Arabidopsis thaliana: one gene and its partner. The protein of the gene in region 2 interacts with the protein of the main gene of each other region in a pairwise test. Each region holds a gene or a part of one and is shown on either strand. Other genes may lie near its edges. The genes, in order: AT2G42660 and GATA26.

Region 1 (10,586 bases), on a different chromosome or scaffold from region 2:
GATGGTGGACCAGACCGTTCCATGGGACTGTTTGGCTCCAATGGTGAAGCACAAGGGTTATTGTCTACAAAATCAGGCTGCCATGCCATTGAGATATGAGCCATATAAACTGCCTTGGGTGAGAAGGGTTTAAGCTGACCAGGACATCGCTTAAGGTCGACTAGCATTTCAACATTATTGAGCTCAACCACAGCAGAGATATGATTATATGAGTCGATGCTAGCAGAAAATCTCAGATCAGTAGGGAAACCCTGATCAAGAAATTTAACCGAAATGCCAAGTTATCAGAACCAATCAATGACATGAGGAAATTGGAGTTATAACCAAAGCCACTGATCACGTTTTTATACAGTACATACCATTACAAGCTTACTGTCAAGACCAACAGCATCAGCTAGAACTTTAAAGAGGATTGCTCGTGCACGACAAGAACCATGCTTGATTTGTCCTAGCAGGGTAAACCCTTGAACGTCAAAATATTGCAGCGTTCTTGCCGGACTCTGCAGAGTTTTTCTTTTATATATATTTGCCACCTGCCATAAGAAGGAAAAATCCAATTCAGATTTCCCGATAATCTAAAAGAATATAATGAGGTTGCTGAAATAATGTGATGTGCCTTAAGAGTCTAATAAATGGGATTACAGTTATTTGTTTTCTTATTCAGAACCAAATATTTATTGCATGCAGCGATAAGATAAAGTAACAAAATGACATGCATTGTCGCCAAAGTTAGTTCACTAGAAAATGAGATGATAAAAAGATGCTCGCCCATTCTTACCAGTCCAGCAATTTTCTTAATAACTTTATCGGAGTCCAATCCTGTGACAAGTTTGATGACAAACTCCTTTATCAAAACAAGCTGTATATCGTTCTTAAGATCTACAAAAATCGCATCAGCCTTAAGACGATCTTCCCCCAGCGCATTAATTTCTTCCAATGTAGGAATGCTTTTAAAATGCATCAATCTCTCAACCTGTTGAAAAATTCAACAACATAATAAGATAAGAAAATGATTGTTGACAAACAGCAGCACGTAACCAAGCATTAATAAAGCTAACTGAAATATTATTGGACAAAGATAATACCAACCTAAAGATAGCTTACCGGGATCACAGTGTAAAAACCACTTGGGATCGGGTCTGATAAGGACCCAGTACTCCAAAAAATATTCGATGCTTCATAACTTGACACCCCATCTTGATCAAGATTAGAGGTTTCTGCTAGTGATCCCTGACATACAGGCACGTATATCTTCTCAACTTCTGAAGGCCTCAAGGTAGGACTTGGTGGATTTGGTTCTGATGGTCCAGCATCATCAGTATTAGAGGTTTCTACTAGTGATCCCTGACATACAGGCTCGGATGTCTCCTCAACTTCTGAAGGCCTCAAGGTAGGACTTGGAGGTCTTGGTTCTGATGGTCCAGCAGCATCTCTTGCCTCTACCACAGTCATCTCCCTAAGGTCTAAAATCACAAGAGTGTCTCCTTAGCCCATAGGTTTCACTCAAGAAAAGACGAATAACGTAGGTACCAAAATATTAAGAATCAAACTTCGCTTACCAGTAGCTTGGACCTCTAGGTCAGCTAACCTACATAGGCAAAAGCAGAATGGTTAAGTAAATATAGACTCGGATATACTGTTGCAGAAATAAATGTTTCAGTGACATACTAAGTTGCATTCCATATATTCCTTATCAAAGCATTTAACTAGTAGACAATTCTCAAAGACTGGCTACAAAACTTATTCAAAGTGTTGGACTTTTCGATACTTATAGAAGAGATTCACTTCAATAATTCAGCCTCAGAACTTACGACAAGATCACGGAACCATTTGATTCCACCACTGATCCTCGGTGACCTCTGCAACACTTAGCTCCCATTTTCAAGTCCTCGGTTGCAAAATTTCAAATTCCTGCATAGATTTCAAAACCCATTTCAAAATAAAATCCCACCAACTTCGATGGATTCAAACACACAAGAACCCATAAACCAAACGGTCTAAAATCATATAAGAAAAGGCTAAAGAGCAAAAGAAGAATAAGGGTTTATGAAAAAACTCACAGAAAGCAGATAAACGTCCTTCCAATTCCAAAATCCAGCAATCAATCTGCTTAAATCGCACTGCGAAACAAGAGAAAGACAGAAGAGAGATCTGAAGATTGCCATGATCAAGCAACAAAGAGCTAAACGTACACACATATAGAGTATGTGTACGTATATGCATAGAGATTTGCAACAGAGATTCATGAGATAAAAATTGGATTTTGGAGGTTTTGAAAGTTTTGATTTTGATGGCGGAAGAAGCAAAAACACAGTCAAGGGGTTTTACGAAAGTGACGAAGCAAGTCACGTGCGAGGGATTATGAGTCACGTGCCGAGAAGCACTTATTCACAGGATATATTTCATAAGTACAATTTTGTCCTCTACCTACATGGATTGTTTTTGTCATCCATTTCTATCTCAAAGATCTTCGAAACAAGATACATATTTGATAGTCATTACACTATGAATGACAATATATTATCAGATTGTTCATGCATATGAGATAGATTTCTTAAAAGAGGATGATGTAAATGAACAAGAATCTAACAAGAGTTTGATGAAAAATGAGGATGAACTTTTTTTGAAAAGAGTATAATAGAAAATCAACGAATGTATTCAATCTTCGAAAAAGATTGCAATAAGAATGACTCAAGAGAATTCATCCTACTTCAATATTGATGTTGATTATGATACTTACACGTCAACAACAACAGATCATCAAAGTGTTTGGCAGTGCGGCTATTTCTTTGTTTGTCAAAAACCTGACATTTCTATCATTTCATGTATTCTCTCAATGAACTCAATAAGATATCACACATTTTGGTTTATAAAGAAATCCCTCCATTTATATAGTACTTACATAAAGAAAAGTGTTTGAGAATTTTGTTTTGGTTATCTAAATATTGACATTTTCAATTAATGTGATTCTCACTTTTTTCTTAAAGAAATATTTATTTTTAAAGTTTGAAGAGCTATAAGAGGAATTAGACATTTTGCGAAGGGAATAAAAACTTGAAAATAAAGAAAACAATTTTATTAATAATTATATTGTCCAGGTGTATATACTTTATTTCTTTGTATATAAAAATTAGCATCAAATATATTTGGTAAGTACGTTTTAGACAAGTATGGTAAATGACAGCCAAGTACTACATGACTCATATTTTATATAATTAATTTCATATTTTAAATTTATATCTATATCTACATTAACATGAAATAAAAAAGATTTCATGTATTGATAAAATAAGCTAGTTTGTCATAATTTCCTATATCTTAAATCTTACCAATTACCATCTTCTAAAAGTTTCTCTTACCACACAAAAAAAAAATCTTCAAAACATTTCTCCTATGCAAAACTTGAGGACAATTTATAAAACAACATAGTTAAGCCCATTAACTAATATTATGGGCCTTAAGAAACGCAAAACAAACTCGTTTAATAGAAAAGATTTCTCCGATGCAAAAACTTGAGGACAATTTATGAAAACAATATAATTAAGCCCATTAACCAATATTATGGGCCTTAAGAAACCCAAAACAAACTCGTTTAAAAGTCATCGTCCTCCGTAAACCCTGAATCTTCCTTCACAGAACCCTAAATAACTTTTCTTTTCCTCCGACCACCGCAGCTCAGCCGCAACCGCCGCCACCACTTATGTCAAGAGTAAGTCCCAAGACTGTGGACGATGCAGTTAAGGCTCTGGTCAAAGAGGGAAACGAAAAATCAAGGACGGAGAAGCCACAGCTTCTAGAAGAAGACGGATTCTTTTACCTAGTCGTAGCCCTAAAGAAGATTCCACAGAGGAATTTTACGAACGCTTATCGTATTCCTCTCCCGCATCCGCTAATTAACACTACCGAAGACTCACCGGAGCTCTGTCTCATCATCGACGACAGACCTGAAAGTGGTCTCACCGAGGAAGATGCGAAGAAGAATATCAAATCAGAGAACATACCAATCACGAAAGTTGTTAAGCTTTCGAAGCTGAAATCGGATTATGGATCATTCGAATCGAAACGGAAGCTTTGTGATTCATACGATATGTTTTTCTCAGATCGGAGAGTGATTCCTATGTTGCCAAAATTGATTGGGAAGAAGTTCTTTCAGAGCAAGAAGACTCCTGTGGCTATTGATTTGAAGCATATGAATTGGAAAGAGCAGATTGAGAAAGCTTGTGGTGCTGCTATGTTCTTCATGAGGACTGGGTCTTGTAGTGCGATCAAAGTTGCGAAATTGTCCATGGAAAGCGATGATATCGTTGAGAATGTGACGGCGACTTTGAATGGTGTTGTTGATGTTTTGCCTAGTAGGTGGAAATACATAAGATCTTTGCATTTGAAGTTATCTGAGAGTTTATCTTTGCCATTATATCAGACAGTGCCTTATTTGCAGCTCAAGATTGATCCTTTAGGTGTTGAAGAAGTTAAGAATGGTGAAGGATTAGCTAAAAGTGATGTTGATGATAGTAGTAGTAAGAGTGTGAAGACAAAGAAGAAGAATGGAAAGATTCATGAGGTTAGATATATGGATAGTAATGTATCTGAGACTCTTGGTGATGATGAATTCGATAGGAGTGTTGGAGAAGATGAGGTTGCTGATGATCTCAATGCTTCTGGAGATAAGAAGAAGAGGAAGAAGATGAGTAGTAGTAAGTCTGCAGTGAGTGGGAAACCAGACATTGTGAAGAGTAAGAATGGGCAAAAGTCGAAAAAGCTAAAGAAGGACATTGATGAGTCTGGTGGTGGATTCAAAGCTAAGACTAAGAGGAGGTGAACCAAGAAAAGAAGATTTTATATTAATGTCGTTATAACTAAGTATTCTATTCTTTCTGCTTGAGTGATTTTTTTGGATACTGATTATGACTTTGTCTTATTATGGTATCATCATCATGATTCTTATATATTTAGGACTTTTATTATCGTTTACTATTTCATCAAACTAGTGACTTGCCATGTAGTTGATTTGGTGGTTTTGACGAGGAAACATATTATTACATGTGTTTTGTTGCATTCCAGAATTGGTGTTGTATTGAATGCAGAGAAACCGCTAAGGATAAGTACTTGCAGGATCTGACTCAAGCCTGATCCAGATCCTGGCTAAGTACTCATCCCATGAAACGGCTAAGGAAAACAAAAGTCTCTACTCTTGAATCTCTTTTAAAGTTAAACTTCATCTCTCTAGTATGTTGGTTACGGTTCTGATGATGTCGACAACAGAGAGAGCGAGAGCATTGTGTTGATATCATCTGTTGGTTTTTGCCTGCAATTTCCAAACTCAGGCAACTGTATCCCACCTCCGGACATTGATTTCAATCGTTTGACTGATGATACTTCTTCATCTCGGACTCTTTTCTCATTGTTCTTCTTCCTAATCTGCATAAGATTTCACCAAGATTACAGTACCTTCCTCGGTTTTTAACAAAACTGTTCCTCTATAACTCTTAAAACGAAAGTAGGTAGTTACCTCGAGTAGAGGCAGAGTCTTGTTCTCTGTGCTGTCTCGGTCATTTCTGCATAACCCGCTAAACCAGCTCGAAGGTCGCATAAGAAAGTTACCTCCAAGATTTGTAACGACCGCGTCTTGATTGAGTACCCTACAGAAAAGAATGCAATTTTAACTTCCTTGGTCGGATCGGATATACAAATGTGAAACATTTTAGTAACTGGAACTTGTTTCTTTGTATGACCTCGAAGGAACGGTTTTAGAGTTATAGGCATGTCTTAAATCGCTATGAGGGATACATCGAGAGTCGATCATGTCCATCAAATAGCTTCTTTGTCCACTCATGAAAGCTCCAAATCCTGTTCAAAAGTCATTTCCATCAATTATGAAACCCAGTGAAGGAATGGTAAATGTCTGCGGATCAAAACTAACTTACCAGGGCGAGAAGACGGCTCGAGCTTCTTACTTCGATACATCTTGAAATCAGAAACATGAAAACATTGAAAAAGATGAACAAAACTGAGATAATCTTAGAATAACAGACGATGAAGATTACCTGTAAATGACTCTTGACATGTGCAATACTCAATCCTTTTAGATTCATCATCTCAAGAACCAATTTCGGCGTCGCTCCTTTAAAATCATACAACAATTACATTACAAAGCTGAGAGAGAGAAAGAGAGAAAGAGACGTGGAGAGAGAGAACAAGAATCCTACTGTCTGGACCGCCTAGTCGTTGGACAGCACGAACGAAGGAGAGATGAAGATCAGGCGTCCAACGAAGCCGAGGCATGTTGGACCGAATATACTGTCTAACGTTATTCGTGATTTGGTCTTCGTCTTCCACTGATGACTCTTCTTCATTGTTCTTCTCCACTGTTTCTTCTCTGTTCAGGTCAAGCCACGTGGAGCATTTTCCCGGCGAAGATCTCCCGGCCATGTCTCTCCGGCGAGAGTGTCTTTAGCTAGCTCTCGAGATCAATTACTCAAAAACAAACAAAAAAAAACCCATGAGAGAGGTTAAATCTCTATGATAATTTCGGCGTTGGCTTCAATAATACTAGCTATAATCATATATATACACTTATAAGTATATAATATAGTCTTATTTGTCGTAAACTATAGTATATAATTATATAGATATATAAAATTCTTATCTATGTCATGCATGTTTACGTATAATTGTATGTTTTTTTTTAATGGAAAAGTGTGTTGGAATCTTCCGTTTGGTGAAATCACATTAGTTATTAGGTTTTGCTTCATTTTTGTTAACATACCAGAAAAATATCCGTTTGTTCTTTTAGTGACAATGACATGTAAACTTATCTCCTTTACTTCTTAAAAATAATATCTTTCTTTAAACAAGATTTAAATATGGTGAATTTGAATATGAATTCAGATTCCAAAAACTATACCATTTCTTAAAACATCTTCTGTTTACCTAACGTGCCTTTGATATATATCATGTGACAATGGCTAGGCTATTTAAATTGGTTAATTAATCATATATTTGATATCAAGCATATTGGTTCAAATAGTCCAGTCTATATGTATACACAATTGGCAGTCGAATATTTTGTGTCATTAGAATTGTTGTTTTGTGAATGATGTATCAAACATTTCAATCCGACCAAACCACTCTTGTTTTTCTAACAATTTTCTCTTTAATAATTTCCAATTAAGTTGACCTTTGCCGGAGACTACGCTTTACCCTTTTGTCATATTAAACCACGTTTTTGAGTGTCTCCAAAACAACTTAAAAAAATAAAAATCAGATTAGCATTGGGGAACTCAAACGGAACATGAGAACTATCGATCTAAGCCGATTGATTCGAACCCTGATAGACAAAAGGTACAAACTATTGTCTACCTCTCAACCGATTACTATGTGGTGGAATGAATTACGTTTCTACGCATTTGGTTTTATCATGATGGCTATTGATCTATATTCATGTTTCTCATATACTTAGGTTAAATACATGACGGTCTTCAATCCCAACGTTTGAAAACAGAATTTAAATAAAAACTTAAGAGAGAAGGGAGTTTTGTCAAATGGTTAAGGATGTGATTCCCAAAGATTCTTGAGTTCACGTATGTACAAAACAGAAGTTGTCTTTATCTTTTTGGTTTTATTATTGGTGACCCTTTTCAATGGGCATTGGGTTACACACCTCCATATATTAGTATTTGGTTTCTCTTCGAGAATTGGCTAACTATATGTTTTTGTAGGGCTTACCAACTTACCAATCAGTATATAATTCGAGAGAGGTAACTAATAAATAATTACGGGTATATTATCTTTGAATGCAATTTTTTAATTGTTCAAATTAGGCAAAGCAACTTTCTTTCTAGAGTGCAATCTTTGTCTTTATTGTCATCTTGTGAGTTGAATTAGTATTTGTAAACATAGATAAGCTGTCGTTAATCATAAATTCTCAAAATAAGTTTCAAATCAAGAAAAATAAGTACAAACACTTTTTACAAAATTGAACCAAGTTTTATGTGAAATTAATAAGGACCTCAAACCCTACACCAAATTAATTATAAATCGTCCCGATGCAAATTTCCGACACTCTATGTCTATGCACACACATATCTATACAAGCATTTTGGAACATATATGAAAACGCGATGGGATCAAATTTCAACGCTCGTATTCATATAAACACAGCTTGAATGTTATAGAATTTCTATGAAGTCTTTTACCATGATCGCCCTCGATCTTCAAATCTAGGGTTATGGACAGATAGAGAGAGAAAGAAAGATAGGAGATGAGAGAGAAGAGAAGATAGGACAAACATTCGAAGTAATTAACTAAGATTGAAGAGAGCATTGATGGGAGAGAAGGAATCGTAGAGGCTCATGTGGGCACTAAGAAAGATGAGGAAACTTTGTTTTGTCCTAACCTGTTTACGTACCGACACTTCATTCACAATTCCTCCATTTCCCATGCTCTCTTTTTATGGAATATATAATTTCAAATTGTTTCAATAGTTCTTGAATTTCTTTAAACGACATGAATTTCTTTGGTTAAGAGAATCTTTTGTCGAGTTCTACTTCTTCCAAGAAAATTCTTTTATATTTTACCATTTCAGAGGATTTTTTTTTTTGTGAATGTTTACTAGATACGTTTTATATGTACAAACCATTTATTTTTTGACAAAAAATATAACAACTGTTTCCCTAAAGGACGTTTTATATGCACAAAACCATTTTTAAATGTAAAAAGGACGTTGATCCAGTTGATATATTTATTTATTATGCATGCAAGAAGCTAAAAAATTCTGCATGTTGCCCTAAAGAATCGCCGCAAAATGAGGCACCGTCTTTGAATTCTTCCTCATCACATGCCTACGTATCTTTAGGACCATGATTATTAGCTTCGATCTTCTTTTCTCAAAAGTTTTATTTATACACTCATAAGAAAAATGCATTATAATGAAGAGTAACAATTAACAAATTAATAACGTAACATAGTAATGGTTTCTCTTGATCTTTTCTAAGTTGTTTCCATGCTTACTTTTGTTCGTGGTTGCGTACTTGCGTTCAAAGCGGTTGGGATCAAAGGGTATCACACCTCAATCAGCATGTTAAAAATTTCCACGATTATATAAACTTTACTCATGAAGGAACGGGCTCATCTATTTCAATTTTCAACCATGATTACCCCGAAATGCTTTCTTTATTCTCTTTATAATCCTGGTCTTTGGGTCTAGGTCTAGGTCTAGGTTGGGACCATATCAATGTTCGTTGTTAAACATTTTGTTTTTTTTATAACCAAAGAATCTGGACCAAAATCTAGACTATTCTCATTTGCCCTGTAGATTACAAATCGGATATTCTTACCATTTAAGACGTCTAGTATTGAAATCGCAATGCAAATTTTTTGGATCCTAGTCCCTAAGCCCATGCTTCAACTACATATAAACCACTATGATTCTATGAATTAGTTTGGTTGTTCAACTTCATCATCATAAATAATTGATAATTCTGATTTTCTTCATGAAAACCGAAATGGATAAAGTGGAGAGCTAATTTATCCATTGACCAAAAAATAAAACGAGAGGAATGAAATTCCATTGAAATCCACTAAGCAAATAGAGTGTATCCACTAATTTTATGATAATATCCACTAAGTCCTTACGTAATAAAGACTCAGCCAGCCGCTTGGTAGAGGGAGATGGGATTTAGTCTTACGTAGTAGCCAGAATGTGATTTTGTTTTTTGTTCAGTTTTGCTTTGTTAGACTTAGAAAAAGCCAACGACGCCATTTCATTCCCTTATTTTTTAAAAACAGTAAGATCACACATCCCATGAACTTTACTCCGATTTCCAAATCAATCCCAACTTAGTTACCAACTGCACAACCTACAAATTGGGCGTATCGGGGCAACTTCTATGCTGGTGTGACCTTACCATATGAAGGAAGAAACACAACTATGCAAAACGAGGTTTAAGGATTTTGTAAACACAACCATTAGAGAAGTCTAGTACCGAAGACTAAAAACCATTAGAAGTCTTTTGCAATATAATGAAACGGAGACACACGGTGTATCACAAATTAGTATGTACAATCCCGTTTGCAATATAAAAAGACCCCCCAAATTATTTCCGAAAGGAATATAAATAAAAAATAAAAACCCGAAGCCGCCCAAATTATGTGACAAGTAAAGATTAGATCATCATCAAGTTCTAATGACAGGACCTCTGTACGGAATTCGTCGTATCACAAAGTCATCAGGCGGTTGAAATTCCTCAAGCCATGTCACGTCTGTGACCACTTCTCCATCCACTTCTAATTCACCTGCTCCAGTTCACAATCCAAATCAATATCACTAAAGGTTCTAATATGGTTCTGGGATCGGGTTTTTGGAGAGCTTAGTTGTATTACCTGGTAAGTCTTCTCTTCTGGATTTCCGGAAGTAAGTGCAATGCCGATCATGCTCTGAAGAGTAAGGTGGAGCTAAGATGTCAAGAATAGCACAATGGGTGATGGCTTTGAAACAGTGAATGTTGCCACCACTTTTCGGATATAATGTTGTTACTGGGCTTTGAGCCGTCATCTCAGTATCCTTCACCAGTTTAGCAGGTCTTGCT
Region 2 (12,641 bases):
GAGAAATGAGTTTATCGTTAGAGCAGAAGAAGGTAACACAGAAGCTGAATCTGAAGAATTTGTTGCTGAAATCGCTGATACGGAAGGAAATGTAGAGGAAGTGGTCGAAGCTAAACCTACAAGAAAACCTAGGATCAAGCTCGGAGATGTCATGGGGGTTAGTGAACTTCTTTGTTTATCAGTAATCCAAATTATGAGTGTTTAGCAATTAGGAATCAGTAAGTCTCTGTGTACACATTTGTGTTGAGGGACTTGCTTTTTCTATAGTTATCTTATAGGCAATGTTGAGGGAGATTGAATGTTATTATCTGTTGATTGTTGTAGATACTGAACCAGAAAGCAATTGAGGTAGCAGAGAAAGTGAGACCTGTTCCAGAAATCAGGACAGGAGATATTGTAGAAATCAAATTGGTAAGTTGTTGATATTTTTGAAGCCTCTTAAGTTATGGATTGAATCGATGTTTTTGATTATTGGTGGGATATGGTGTTTGGCTTGGCAGGAAGTTCCTGAGAACAAACGTAGGCTATCTATCTACAAAGGCATAGTGATGTCGAGACAAAATGCAGGCATACACACTACCATTCGTATTCGGAGAATTATTGCGGGTATCGGTGTTGAAATTGTGTTTCCCATGTGAGTTTTTTCCCCTCTCCAGTGACCATTTGGTATGACCTACTTTGATTATGAGTCTTTTCACATGTTCTGAGCTTTTCAATAAAACCAAGTTTATACATAGATACTGAGTTATACTTTGTGTTACCTTACATAAAGTCCCTGTATAATAGTTAGACTCTGTGCAGAGGTTTTACTGTAATAAGTCTTTAGTTGCTGTTATACCTTCCCAGTTATGGCAGCCTGAATCACTATGGCAACTATCATGTCTGCTCATGTTTACTATCTTTCATTCTGCTGTATAACATACGAGTCTCGAGAAACTTCCTGTGATATATCGGTTATTTTCTTACCATGTGGGAATTAAGAAAAGTGTTTGGTATGTGTTGATTCTCCTAATCGTTTGATTTGACAGATACTCTCCCAACATCAAAGAGATAAAAGTGGTGAGTCACAGGAAAGTAAGAAGAGCAAGGCTTTACTATCTGAGGGACAAGCTTCCTCGTCTGTCCACTTTCAAGTGAACACCATCCACCGTGCTGTGTTTGACCTCCAGAGGTAGTAATCTTCCGCATTGTGCTCTTTTTTTGTAAGAATTGTTTCTTTCTTTCTTTTTTTTAAGCCTGTAAGTCATTCCCTGCACATTTTCTGAGAAAGTAAATTAAGATTAGTTGAACTTCCGGTTGATGGATGTAGACCTGTTCCTTGTTTGATAATGAATGATATATGGCTTAGGATGACCTAAAGTCCATACTTTAATAGAAACTATGTATGAATGAGTCTGTGTTCTGTGCATATGTTGTTTGGTGTGTCTTGACTCTTGAGGGTCTTCAGGAACAAAAACAGAAGACATGTTCTCGTCTTATTTCTTTTGGGACTTCGTCTCAACTATTCGAATCTTGAATTTTGATCTTGTGAAGGTGGAACCCAACTTTTTATTATTAAATTACCCTAATCTCTATGAATCATTCAGCATAGATATTACTGTATTAGGATGTGGTCGATGAATTCCCTTATGATTTGTTTTTCTTTTTCTTTTTTTGGGTCACATAATGAGATTCGAATCATAGTGTGCCAAAACCTCTATCATCGAAGTTCTAACCAAACTATTACTACTGGTAACAAATAAGATAATTGAAACACGTAACACCTTGAAGTCATGAAGTCTAAAACATATGCATAATACAAAGAAACTAACCATCAAAAGACTAAGTAAAAGCAAAGGTATTAATAATTTAAAAACAAAAAAAAATGGAACAAGAAGCAGAAACATGTCCAATTAACTGGTGAAACCAGGTAAGAACCATCGAGAATCAGAGAAGAGCATGGAGGAGAGAACGCATTGTGGCAAAGGTTCCATGGTGCCGGTTGTGAGATCATAGACAAATCTACATTCGGGATCCGTTAAGGGGTGGTTGAGGCCACTGAAATAAATGGAGTTTTTCTTGATCCCTGGAATATCTTTAGCGACAACAGTGATACCCATGTCCAAGATTATAGCCGCATCACCTAAAGAATCGACTTTTACCCATCTCTGCGTCAGAGGATTTAACTCGAAGATGCGAAAACGCCATCTTGAGAGGTCGTAGTAGTGCATTATTTTTACCACCACAACTTCTCCAGACAATGACATCACCATCTGATGACTTATCCTATAGTATTTGTTCTTGTCACCAATCTCACGGCCAGAAATGAAGCTAACAGCTGGTAGATGCTTATCTACATGAGGGATATCACTAGAGAAATCCCAAACATAGATAAAGCCATAGGAAGCATACTGGTAAACCTTGTGATCTTTGTGATTATAGATAATTTGATCTTTCATCCGAATGTGACAAGCGGGAGCGAATCGCCATGTGTCATCACCTTTCTTTGTAAAAAAACATTTGTTATAGATGGGCCAAACAACTAGGTAATCTTTGGTTATGTTGTTTATCCAGAGACAAGCTGATCGGTAGTATTTGAAGTTTGGATAGCACATATTTGGATTGATAGAGGTGGAATGTGGTAGATCAATCCTCTCTAACGTCAATGGATTAAGAATGTAGAGATTCCGAAGATGGTTAAACATCAAGAGCCAGCTACCGTAAGTCGCAAGACAAATACTTTGTGCAAAGTCAACACCGAGATCTCGAGTCTTGTAAACTTTGTCGTTATCATCAGGAACGAATAAAACACAGTTATTGCTACTATTGTTTTCGCTCTTTTGAGGGAAAAGTATCATCCACGGAATCTGATTTCGTTTGGGAACGCAGCCTCTCGAAGCAGAGTTCCATGACCTACAAACTAATTTTGCTCGATTGAGATTTGTGAAACTCAGTTGTTCGAAAATACTTCGTAACAAGTCCGGACAAAGCTCCGACCACTTGGGAATCACTCGGAGCCGCCGATTAGGGTTCTTGTCGCTTTGGTCCATTGCTAAATTTCAAAGAAAACACGTTAAAACTGAAAATTTGTTGTAATTCAAGTGGTAGAATTATAAAGTTGATAGTTGATTATAAAGATAAAATAAAAAAGTGTTTATACATATACTAAAGCAAGCGCATCAACGTCTTTTGCATTAATCTTTTCACATACACAAAAAAGGAAAAAGGAAAAGAGGTATTCTTTTCTAGTTTGGACAACTCTTGGTATTTTTGCATTACTCCCAAAATTCTGATAAAGTAGTACTCATGTATTCCATTTTCTGCATTTTCGGAAGTTTACATGATATTACAGTATCTTTTTCATCCTATACAAAAAAAAAAGCAGAAACTAAAAAAGTCCAAAGATAAGAAACCAAAAAAGATGGAACTTTCAAGTTTAAAATTAAAAGGGTCACAGAAAGAGAGGTAAGAGAAGAGGCTTTATGTATATGTATGTATATTATAAGACCCACTTTATAAACTTAACCACCAAAGAGAAGCCCAAGCAAGACTCAAATAAATATCCTTCCTTTTTTTATGTCTGCAAATTCCAATTTCTAAAGCAGAAACCTCATTTTGGTCGTTTTCTCAGAAAGCTTAAGAGTATATCTCTCATCAAAGAAGAGAGATAGAGAGCTTAAGAATCCTTCCTTTAAGCTCTGAGAAGCTCAATGAGGTTTTGTAGCTTTGACCTTTCAGAGTTGGTGAAGTAGCTCTGCTTGAGGAAATGACCCGTTTGACGGCAAGTCCAGAAGAAGGAGATCTTGATCAGAACTGCAATTACCTTCATAGCTAAACACTGCAGAGCCACCTTCTTGTGCAAACACAGAAGCCAAGCTTCTTGGTCTGAAGCATGAGACATTGTTCTCTGTCTCATGGCTTGCTTTCATCTTCATCACCCTTTTGGGGCTCCTCATTAGCCCCCTTGACTCTGTGACCACAACAAGAAACTCAACAAACCACAAAGATTGATTGCAGAATCAGCAAGACTGATTGAAATTGTCCTTAAGACTGACCTGACTTTACTTGGATTTGGTTTTCATAGCGCCTCTTAATGGTTACAATATTTTTAGGTACATTTGGGATTGAGCTTTTTGAAGTTGTAGTAACAGAATCTCCGGTCCCTTTTTCGCGTTCCTGTAGTCACATATCCGGTGAATCTCTGGCCAAAAGTTATTATTATGTCAGTGTTTCAATGAGAGTAAGCCCAACCTTGAGGAGGTTATAGCTTTCCACCAAACGAGATTTGTTAAAATCTGTCAAAGCAAGCTTCTTAAAAGTCCTGATTTCTTCGAGTTTTGCCCCCGAGGAAGAAGACACATCAAAGACACCATCAGCAATGAGCTGCTGAAACAAAGAGAAGTTGTCCTTGAACTGAGCACTTTCAAACATCATTCTGAGGCTGCAAAGGCATAATATGACAGATTATAAATTTTGTACGGTCTGGTTTAGTTGTTTTAAGAAAAAATGCAATGCGGTTTGAACCTATGAGGAAGGTCATCAGAGTCAATCTGAGGAAGCAAGTTCATCAGTTTCTTCTGTTCTTCCTCTGTGAATTGTTCTATGAACTCATCAAAGTTGAAAACATCCTGCAAGAAGTTTATTGTTTAGGCATTGTCCTGGAGTCATTTTTAAAAATTTGACTTTCATATGCAAATATTTAACTTATTGAACAGACTTGGTGAGAGTTGCTTGAAACTTACCTTCAAATCTATGCTACATAGTGGTGAACCATGACTCCCCAGGACATGCACTCTTTCAGTTTGAGACTTGGTTCTGCCAACCATTAAAAACAGGATCCATTATTATCCTTAACTAAACTGAGAGCTAATGTATAGAATATCTTGAAGATACAATAAAAATACTTTACCTCTTGAATTGTTCTTGCTTTATTGTTTGTCCACCATAATATGAACCTCTCACTGCTCCAATCTCAACACGCTTCACGGAATGTGAGTATGCGTCACTGATGGAGGACTTGTTCTCAATCGAAGAGAGTGAGCTGGCTTCAGACTCCTCTTCCCGAGCAAACGAGTGGGGATTCTTCATCAGAACACTCCCATGTCCAATCTCAACTGAGACCATTGACATTTCATTCTCAAAAAGAAGATCTTCCTCTGATGAAACTGAGAGACATGACGATTGCTGCTCTTGTAAAATATTGTAAAGGTCCTTTGTGAGCTTTTCAACAGAAGAGGACTTAGGACGGCCCACACACGTCCTCCTCTTGCAAGGAACAGTTGTGTCCCACGCATTAGATTGAGATGGACCTGGAAAAACAAAGTTCACATGGACACTTTTAAAAATCCCATATTGTTGATCAACCGGAAGAATAATAAAGTAACTAAACCTGTTAACTCACTCCCATCTGCACTGCTAAACTGTGCACAGCTCTCAGAGTTTGATACAGCCGAACCGGAACTCGATCTATTACTAGCATCCTCCTCTATCACAGCCGCCTTCAAACCATAACTGAATTCAAAGACCGGTCTTTTAATGATGATGTTTTCTTGAATTGCTTTCCTCTTGAGCATCTTTATCTCTTTGTTCTTATTGCCTAAAGAAATGCTCTTCATTCTTTGAAACCTGTGATGATCATCATTCTCATCACCATCAGCACGAGCATGAAGCGGTGTGTAGTTCACAAGTGTTCCCTTTGTCCTCCAACGCGATCCACACGCATTGCACAATACCGGCTTCTCTGGTGGTCCATTTCTCCACAAAGGTGTGTCTGTTTCAATGAAAGAAACAAAATTTCACAAATTTGAGCTTTGAAATCAAGACAACATAAGAGTTCAACATCAGACAACACTTGAAATGTGACTTAATACTGCAAATTCAAACTCCAAATCAATCAGAAGAACAATGATCTCAAAACACCAAACATCTTAAAGTCTTTAAGCAGCAACCAGAACAAAATTTAGCTTCTTTGTACAACAATTGCGAATCATAAACACAAATTCAGATCCCAAGATCATGTCTTTGTTGCCTAATCCATTAGTTCTAATCATACTGAGAACAACAACACAAGTCACAAACAGTTGTTACTTAAGATCATTCAACAGAAACAATATATATAGTTAAAGGAACATAATTCCAAAATGTTCATAGATATTCTTGAGTCCAGGAAGTCTTTGCTGTATCACTTCAATCATTATTACAATTTGCTACACAAAAAGCATATAATCAAATCATTTTCCCAGAAAAGAGAGCATCTCACCCAGAAGTAAAAAAAACAAAGGTTGAATATTCATATTCATACAGATTTTCACATCATCAAATAGGAATTGGAGACACTCACTTGTAACTCCACAGTGGTAGCAAGGTCCTTGCTTCCCCATAATATCTCTATCTCTCTCTTTGTTTCTTTTGTGTTTTTCAAAAATGAATAATTTCAGAAGAAAGTTGCAATTTTTATAGACTTAAAAAGAAGAGATTTTTTGGAAAGAAATTTAAGTTTTATAAATTGTGTTTAATATTCAGCTATAATTGGAATATACAAAACCAGAGTCTTAAAACTATTAAGAACCTTTTCTCTGCTAAGGAAAAAAACCCAGAAAAAAAGTTTTTTTTTTTTTTTGGTTTTCTGCAAATTGAAGCCAAGATACCCAGAAAGTCTCCTATAAGCAAATTTTACAGAAATACAAAAACTCAGTATAAGAAAATTGAAAAAATCAAAGCAAGAAAGAGAACAATTTCAAGAAGATAATTTATGTTATCTTTTTTGGTTTTTGTTTTTTGGGTTCCTTGAGCTATCAGTCTAATACAACAATCCAATAGAAAAGAGAAGAGACTAATTGTGAGAGAGGAATCTAATAAATGGCTGTGAAAAAGGAGAAGAGAGAGAGAGAGAGAACAACTTTGAGGGTTTAGAGCGAGAAACTGTTTGTGTATAATAATAATAATAAAATGGTCTCTCTTTTTATTTTATTTTTATTTTTGTTCATTTGCATTATTATTATGTAACGATGAAATTAATTGTTTCAGCTTCCTTACATAAAAAAGAAATATGTTTTTTTTCCTCCTTTCAATTTCATTTTAGATAAAAAAAAATAAAAAATTACTTCAGCATATAATGGCTTTATTTGTTGACATCATATAAAATGGCTTTTTTAGTCGACATAAAATGGCCACTTTCATTTCATTTTGTTTTCTTTTGTTATTTTTGAAAGTAAATGTTTCAGCATCCTTTCATAAAATTTTGAGATTTCATTTTAGAAAATTAGTTTAACAAGAAATGAGATCTATGACTATCAGATTTAATATAAAAGTTATAGGAGTATTATTTTGGGTAGGAGGAATATTATTGCTTATGCCTAATGCTTCCATCCTTCTTGTTGACTATAGACTTTTCTTTCTTTGTTTGTTTTACTATTGATATTTCCAACATGTATAATAAATATAATAACGACAATTATAAATATTAATGACTATGAAAAAAAAATGAGGAAGAAAAAAGCACTGGTAAGCTTTTTTTCTCTAAAATTATTAACTACATCAAAAAAAAACTATATAAGATACATACACTCTTTGTCAATAATATTGTTCATGTTTTGCAAGAAAAAAATATAATAAAAAAAAAATGTTGTGCAAGAAAAAATAATGTGTCGACAGAATGTGAAAGTATAAATCTATAGTACAATACGGTATTTTAAATACCGTAACGATTGGTAGATTTATTCATGCCTTTGGATTTGCTGAATAAGGTTTATAATTGGGTTCTTGTTTATTTATTTATAACTTAGCAAATACTAAAGTTTTGTCAACGACTAGATTAAGAGATTAGGTTATTTTTGCTTATTTTTTTACATGTGTGACAATACTATGCTGGTAGAATAAGTTTTGTTAAGTGGGGTATATATATTTTTCTTATAACAAAGAAAAGACTAAAATTATTGATAAATATGTGTCATAAAAAAAACAAAGTTAAAAAGAAAGAAATGGTATGTAAAGTCACCGTCCACCATGACGATCATGGACACAACTCCTCCCTCCACCGTTTGATTTAGTTAAAGATATTCAAAACATGGGTCCTACTTATGTTTCTTTGGTAATTTGTGAATGTGATTAGGGAACTAATGCGATATCAACACCATACATTATATTATACGTGTAATTTATTATAATATTCGGTTTTCTTTTGCATTTAACTAGTAGTATATGTATTGAGATCTTTAGTTCTTTGTGTTTCTTTTCTTTGGTTTCGTACATAGTGTAATGCACCAATAAAGAATTCTCAATTCAACGTAAATAAACCGAACCAAGTTAACTTATCGAGTGATAGCATTACTCCAAAAAATTTATCTTAAACACAAGAAAACAAAAATAGTTCTATTTTTTTTTCTTAAGTAAACGATATAATCTAATGTGATTGGTAAAATGTTATGGAGCATTAGTTACGAAAACTGAAGAATAATGTGTCAGAGACCGAATTGAAGAGTAGTCTTACCAAATTTTAAAATAGTGTAACCAGAAATTCAGATGCCAATCACATCTCTGATCTATATATTCTTTTTTTAAAAGAAACGATGGTAATGTAATAATGAAATGGTGTGAGAGGTGTAGGCAAAATGATGGAGGTATGATCGAACGGCTGAGAAAAGACGATGAGAATTGGAGTGCTATTAGAGGTCAAACACAAAAAGTCATGCCCCAATCGTGCTTACAAATCACAATTTACAAAACCCATTTTCATTTTCATACGCTAATAATAACAGCAACACAACTACTATGGCAACAATGTCCATTAGCAGAAAATTATTTTAGTATCAAATATCAACTAGCTTCTTTCTAATGTAAGATAGACTCATAGACAAAAAGTGTGGTTACAGTCTCTAGTATTTTCCCTAATATCTTAATTTTCACTCATACTAGAAACTGTAGATCAAATTGTTTACTCATTTTAAACCATCCAAATAGAACATAAGATTTGACCAAACATTGGAATAGTTCTTGAAACATGTACACTTATGACTTTCTCCTAACTTGCATTTTTGTTATAAATTTGATATTAGACAGTAAAGGCCAGAGCCAGAGTAGAGTACAAAGTCGTTTACAATCTGAAGTTTTTATGATAGCAAAGAGACTAGTCAAAGAGAAGTAAAAAGAGTGATTTGACTAAAACTCTGAGCTATGTAGACTTTGATTTGGTGGTTTCAGTTTCTTCGGTCTTTTCTTCCTTTCTTCATCTTCCTAAACTGCACAAAATAAGACGAAATTGTATTAGATAGAGAGACATTAGAGGTAACAATGAACTCACCAAGGGTTTAAGGGAAGAACTTACCATGTTGAGAACGAGAATTTGAACAAATAGAGAAGCAAAGTCAGTGAAAAAGGTAAAAGAATGTTGCACATAGTCCATATCACCGTGGTGTGCTTTCTCGGTTATCATCTGTGTGTCCACCACTATGTATCCCACAAAGATCAAGAGTCCAAAGTATAGCTGCAAATGATGAGAATGTATGTTAATACAAGCAAGTACTCTTCTATCGAAAACAAACATACAATTCTCTCCCTCTTGAAGACAGAGTTTTTACCTCAAACTTGACGACAGTTGTAGAGCCTCCGAAGATGGAAGAGGCAATTTGTACCCACCAAAGGATGGACATACAACAAGCAAGTGAAGCTCCGTGGTAAAGGTACTCTCTACGCGTTGCCAACATTGCTGCAGCGGAGAAACACACAAATGCTACTGCTGTTCCCACAAATGCAGTGACCAGGACGCTGGTTTAAAGAAGGAACCGTATACACAAACATTCAACACTGACAGAGCGTAGAAGCTTATGTAGAGGTCTCTTTTTAAAGACATGAACATAGAAATCACCTTGAGTCAAAATCAATGACTAGCATGATCATGGGACCAACTGAAGCACCTTTAAGAAGGGCAAATAGAAACAGAAGGTAGAGCCTTTTCGCTGCATCAAAAGCAAACATTAGATAAAGTTCATTGAGTTAAACAAGACTGTAAGATATTCAGAGTTAGGGACTCATCTTCAAAGAAAAATAAGTGTAAGTGATGAATGAAACCCACATGTTAGGTTCATAAAGAGTGAAACGCAACCAAATCATGATTCCACTGAATCCAAGAGTACTGACATTTCCACCGATATTCCAGACCATGTGAATGTAAGCTCCAATCGCAGACGCAAGAAGAGCAAAGAATAACGTGAGATAGACTTACACTTAACGAACATATATAGAATCAAGAAACACCAATAAAAACTCTCAAAGAAGTGCGTTTCTTTTCACTAATAAATACAAACGATCAATAACACAACGATGCGAACCAAGAACAATACAAAACTGAAAACAAGATCACGAAACAAACTATTGCATTGAAACGAAATGATTCACTAATCAATCGTATCACAAATCTCATTCCAAGAAACAACAACAACTTTTCGTGGAAGATTATGAAGACGTTACCCGCTTAAGATGATTCTGCACGGCCGGAGAGAATTCATGAGAGTTTCTGAGATAATCATGGCTCCAAATCGTACCGTTCGCCTCCATTGTTGCTTTTGCTTGATAATGCTTCAGAGAAGAGAATTTTCAAATGCAGAGACTTCAAATTCCATATTTATAGTACGGTCAAATAAATCAATTCTGTTTTGCTAACAAGCCCATGGTGTGGTGGGCTTTTAAATACGAGCCCATGATCAATACTGTTAGTTTCTTTGATAGTGTGTTTGTACTTGTAGTAGAGTGCAAAAACGCTACGTTGTTTCTGTTTCGGAGAAAGAAACGACATAACATGTTAACTCTGTTTTTTTTTTTTTTCCCCTCAACATGTTAACTCTTACAACACGTCTCTCCAAATATGAAATATGGCTTAAAATTTCATATAATTTGCAATTTGCATATAATGCCTGAATAGTTCCATTTTAATTTCATATAATTCTATCTTTTACCAAAAACAAAATCTTGAAATAGTGATCATATATAAAAAAATGAGACTTACAAGTGTTTCATCAGTTGATTTAGAATCCAAAACAGCTTGATATCCTTCGTAGATTTCGTTTTTGAATCTGGTTTTTCTTTCTCTTTCTCTTCAAAGTACTCATTCACACATTCTATATACGTACAAACACAATTATATATATATATTAAAAAAGATTAAATTAAGTAATATTTTTGGAATTATAAGTTTGGTGTTAATGTTAACAAATCATAGAAATGATATTTCCGAGAATTACCTTCTATAGAGCGAGAGAGGCCTTGGAGTTTACCGACGGTGGTCTTGTGTAGATCTTCACCAGACCAAATAGGAAAAACAAGAAGGCTCATGAAAAGACAGATTCCGCAACCAATAGCTATAGTGTAAAATCTATTGTACGTGTGACGTGTGCTATGTTTATCACACTATCTACTCGACAGCTTGAAACCGTTATAGATTGAACGTCAAGAGAAATATCACAACACCGTAATCGTAATTCTTCTTTATGTATGGTACAAATCTTATATAAGTAGCAGCCGCTCCTATAACCATTAGAATGAAATTAAACATCAATTAGTAGGTTTATTGTTGATTGTAATAAATGTATGTATATAAGGAGATATATAGTATATAACTTACTATATTGCTTCTTGTCCGAGACTAGGTTTGCTTCAGCAGGCTGTTCTTGTGAGTTTCGTCTAGGATGGAGATTTTAAGGCTATACTTGATCAAAGGATTGAGGGCTGCCTTAGATCGCTAATGCCTTTAGTATCTCCTTGCATCTCTTGGGCATGTCGTGCTCGTTTTCTGCTTTGGCGTCCAAGTTCATTGTTTCCTTGTTGCACTAAGGCTCAGTCTCATGTTAGATCTCTGCTTCAGATAAGTGTTTGCTCCATGTTAAGCGTCGAAATAGGTTAAGGTTCATGTGGGTTTGGTCTTAGCGGCTGGTGATGCTAGTATGGCTGGTTAAGGACATGATGTTGCTTTGCCCGTGCTATTGACTTCGGGAGGAACTTGATAGAGTGGCAAACATTGCCTGCCTCATTCCGCTCGTGTGGTTCCGCAGCTGATTCTCTGCCTCGGGCTGCCATCGAAAGGATTACTTTCTCGCTTATCGTCAAGCCCTCCACTGTATGTACCCTCTTTCGCTCTTGTTTCTCTTCCCAATTCACTTTAGGGATTCTTTAGATCTTGATTCAATTCTTCTTCCAAGAGCATCTTTGCTTAAGGAGTGAACTAATTTTGGATTCAAGAATGTGTATGCTTCCATGTTTAGTAAACTTTTACTTTTTTTTTTGGCATGGGACCATGTATAGGTTATGCTATTCATTTGTGTAACCTTACTTTTGATTGTGAAATGAATATTTATACAATCTTAGTAAAAATAATAAATAGTATATAACTTACCGGCAAAGAACTCGAGGAGGACGGCGACGACAGTCATGACGGCCCAAATAGCATTGCTTCCAATGCCTTTGAAGAGATTCTCCATGAAATATAGCAAAGAAACGAGTGTCAAGGAATGACCTACTTTAAATGCATGTATCACTCTCCTCGGATCTTCTTTTCCAACACTCCAAAGCCTTTTCGGAATCTTCTTGATCTTCTCAGAAGGTTCTAGAACCATCCACTTCGTCTTGCTCAAACCTTCCTCCATCTCAATGTTCCCTACGTGAACCTTGTTGGA

What was found.
Region 1: the proteins of GATA26 (region 2) and AT2G42660 interact in a two-hybrid assay, tested with the Arabidopsis thaliana proteins (one large-scale study listed by BioGRID).

What each region holds. Positions count from the first base shown.
Region 1 is NC_003071.7:17,761,830-17,772,415, forward strand, and holds AT2G42660 (Homeodomain-like superfamily protein), read right to left. Parts: upstream 6,551-10,586; 5' UTR 6,430-6,550; coding exon 6,207-6,429; intron 6,122-6,206; coding exon 6,045-6,121; intron 5,965-6,044; coding exon 5,925-5,964; intron 5,848-5,924; coding exon 5,733-5,847; intron 5,640-5,732; coding exon 5,510-5,639; intron 5,419-5,509; coding exon 5,236-5,418; 3' UTR 5,221-5,235; downstream 1-5,220. Other genes in the region: AT2G42640 (Mitogen activated protein kinase kinase kinase-like protein), read right to left, coding at 1-251, 360-533, 779-973, 1,105-1,463, 1,560-1,588, 1,812-1,879; AT2G42650 (Ribosomal protein L1p/L10e family), read left to right, coding at 3,701-4,819; AT2G42670 (2-aminoethanethiol dioxygenase, putative (DUF1637)), read right to left, coding at 10,175-10,293, 10,381-10,586.
Region 2 is NC_003075.7:9,780,616-9,793,256, forward strand, and holds GATA26 (GATA transcription factor 26), read right to left. Parts: upstream 6,884-12,641; 5' UTR 6,548-6,883; exon of another isoform or gene 6,360-6,547; coding exon of another isoform or gene 6,320-6,359; intron 6,031-6,319; 5' UTR 6,030-6,030; coding exon 5,954-6,029; intron 5,750-5,953; coding exon 5,369-5,749; intron 5,289-5,368; coding exon 4,889-5,288; intron 4,795-4,888; coding exon 4,722-4,794; intron 4,608-4,721; coding exon 4,504-4,607; intron 4,421-4,503; coding exon 4,231-4,420; intron 4,156-4,230; coding exon 4,035-4,155; intron 3,950-4,034; coding exon 3,714-3,949; 3' UTR 3,273-3,713; downstream 1-3,272. Other genes in the region: AT4G17560 (Ribosomal protein L19 family protein), read left to right, coding at 1-157, 325-411, 501-634, 1,029-1,137; AT4G17565 (F-box protein (DUF295)), read right to left, coding at 1,893-3,029; AT4G17580 (Bax inhibitor-1 family protein), read right to left, coding at 9,174-9,215, 9,302-9,460, 9,555-9,741, 9,842-9,925, 10,049-10,193, 10,281-10,320, 10,444-10,530; AT4G17585 (aluminum activated malate transporter family protein), read right to left, coding at 11,908-12,083, 12,362-12,641.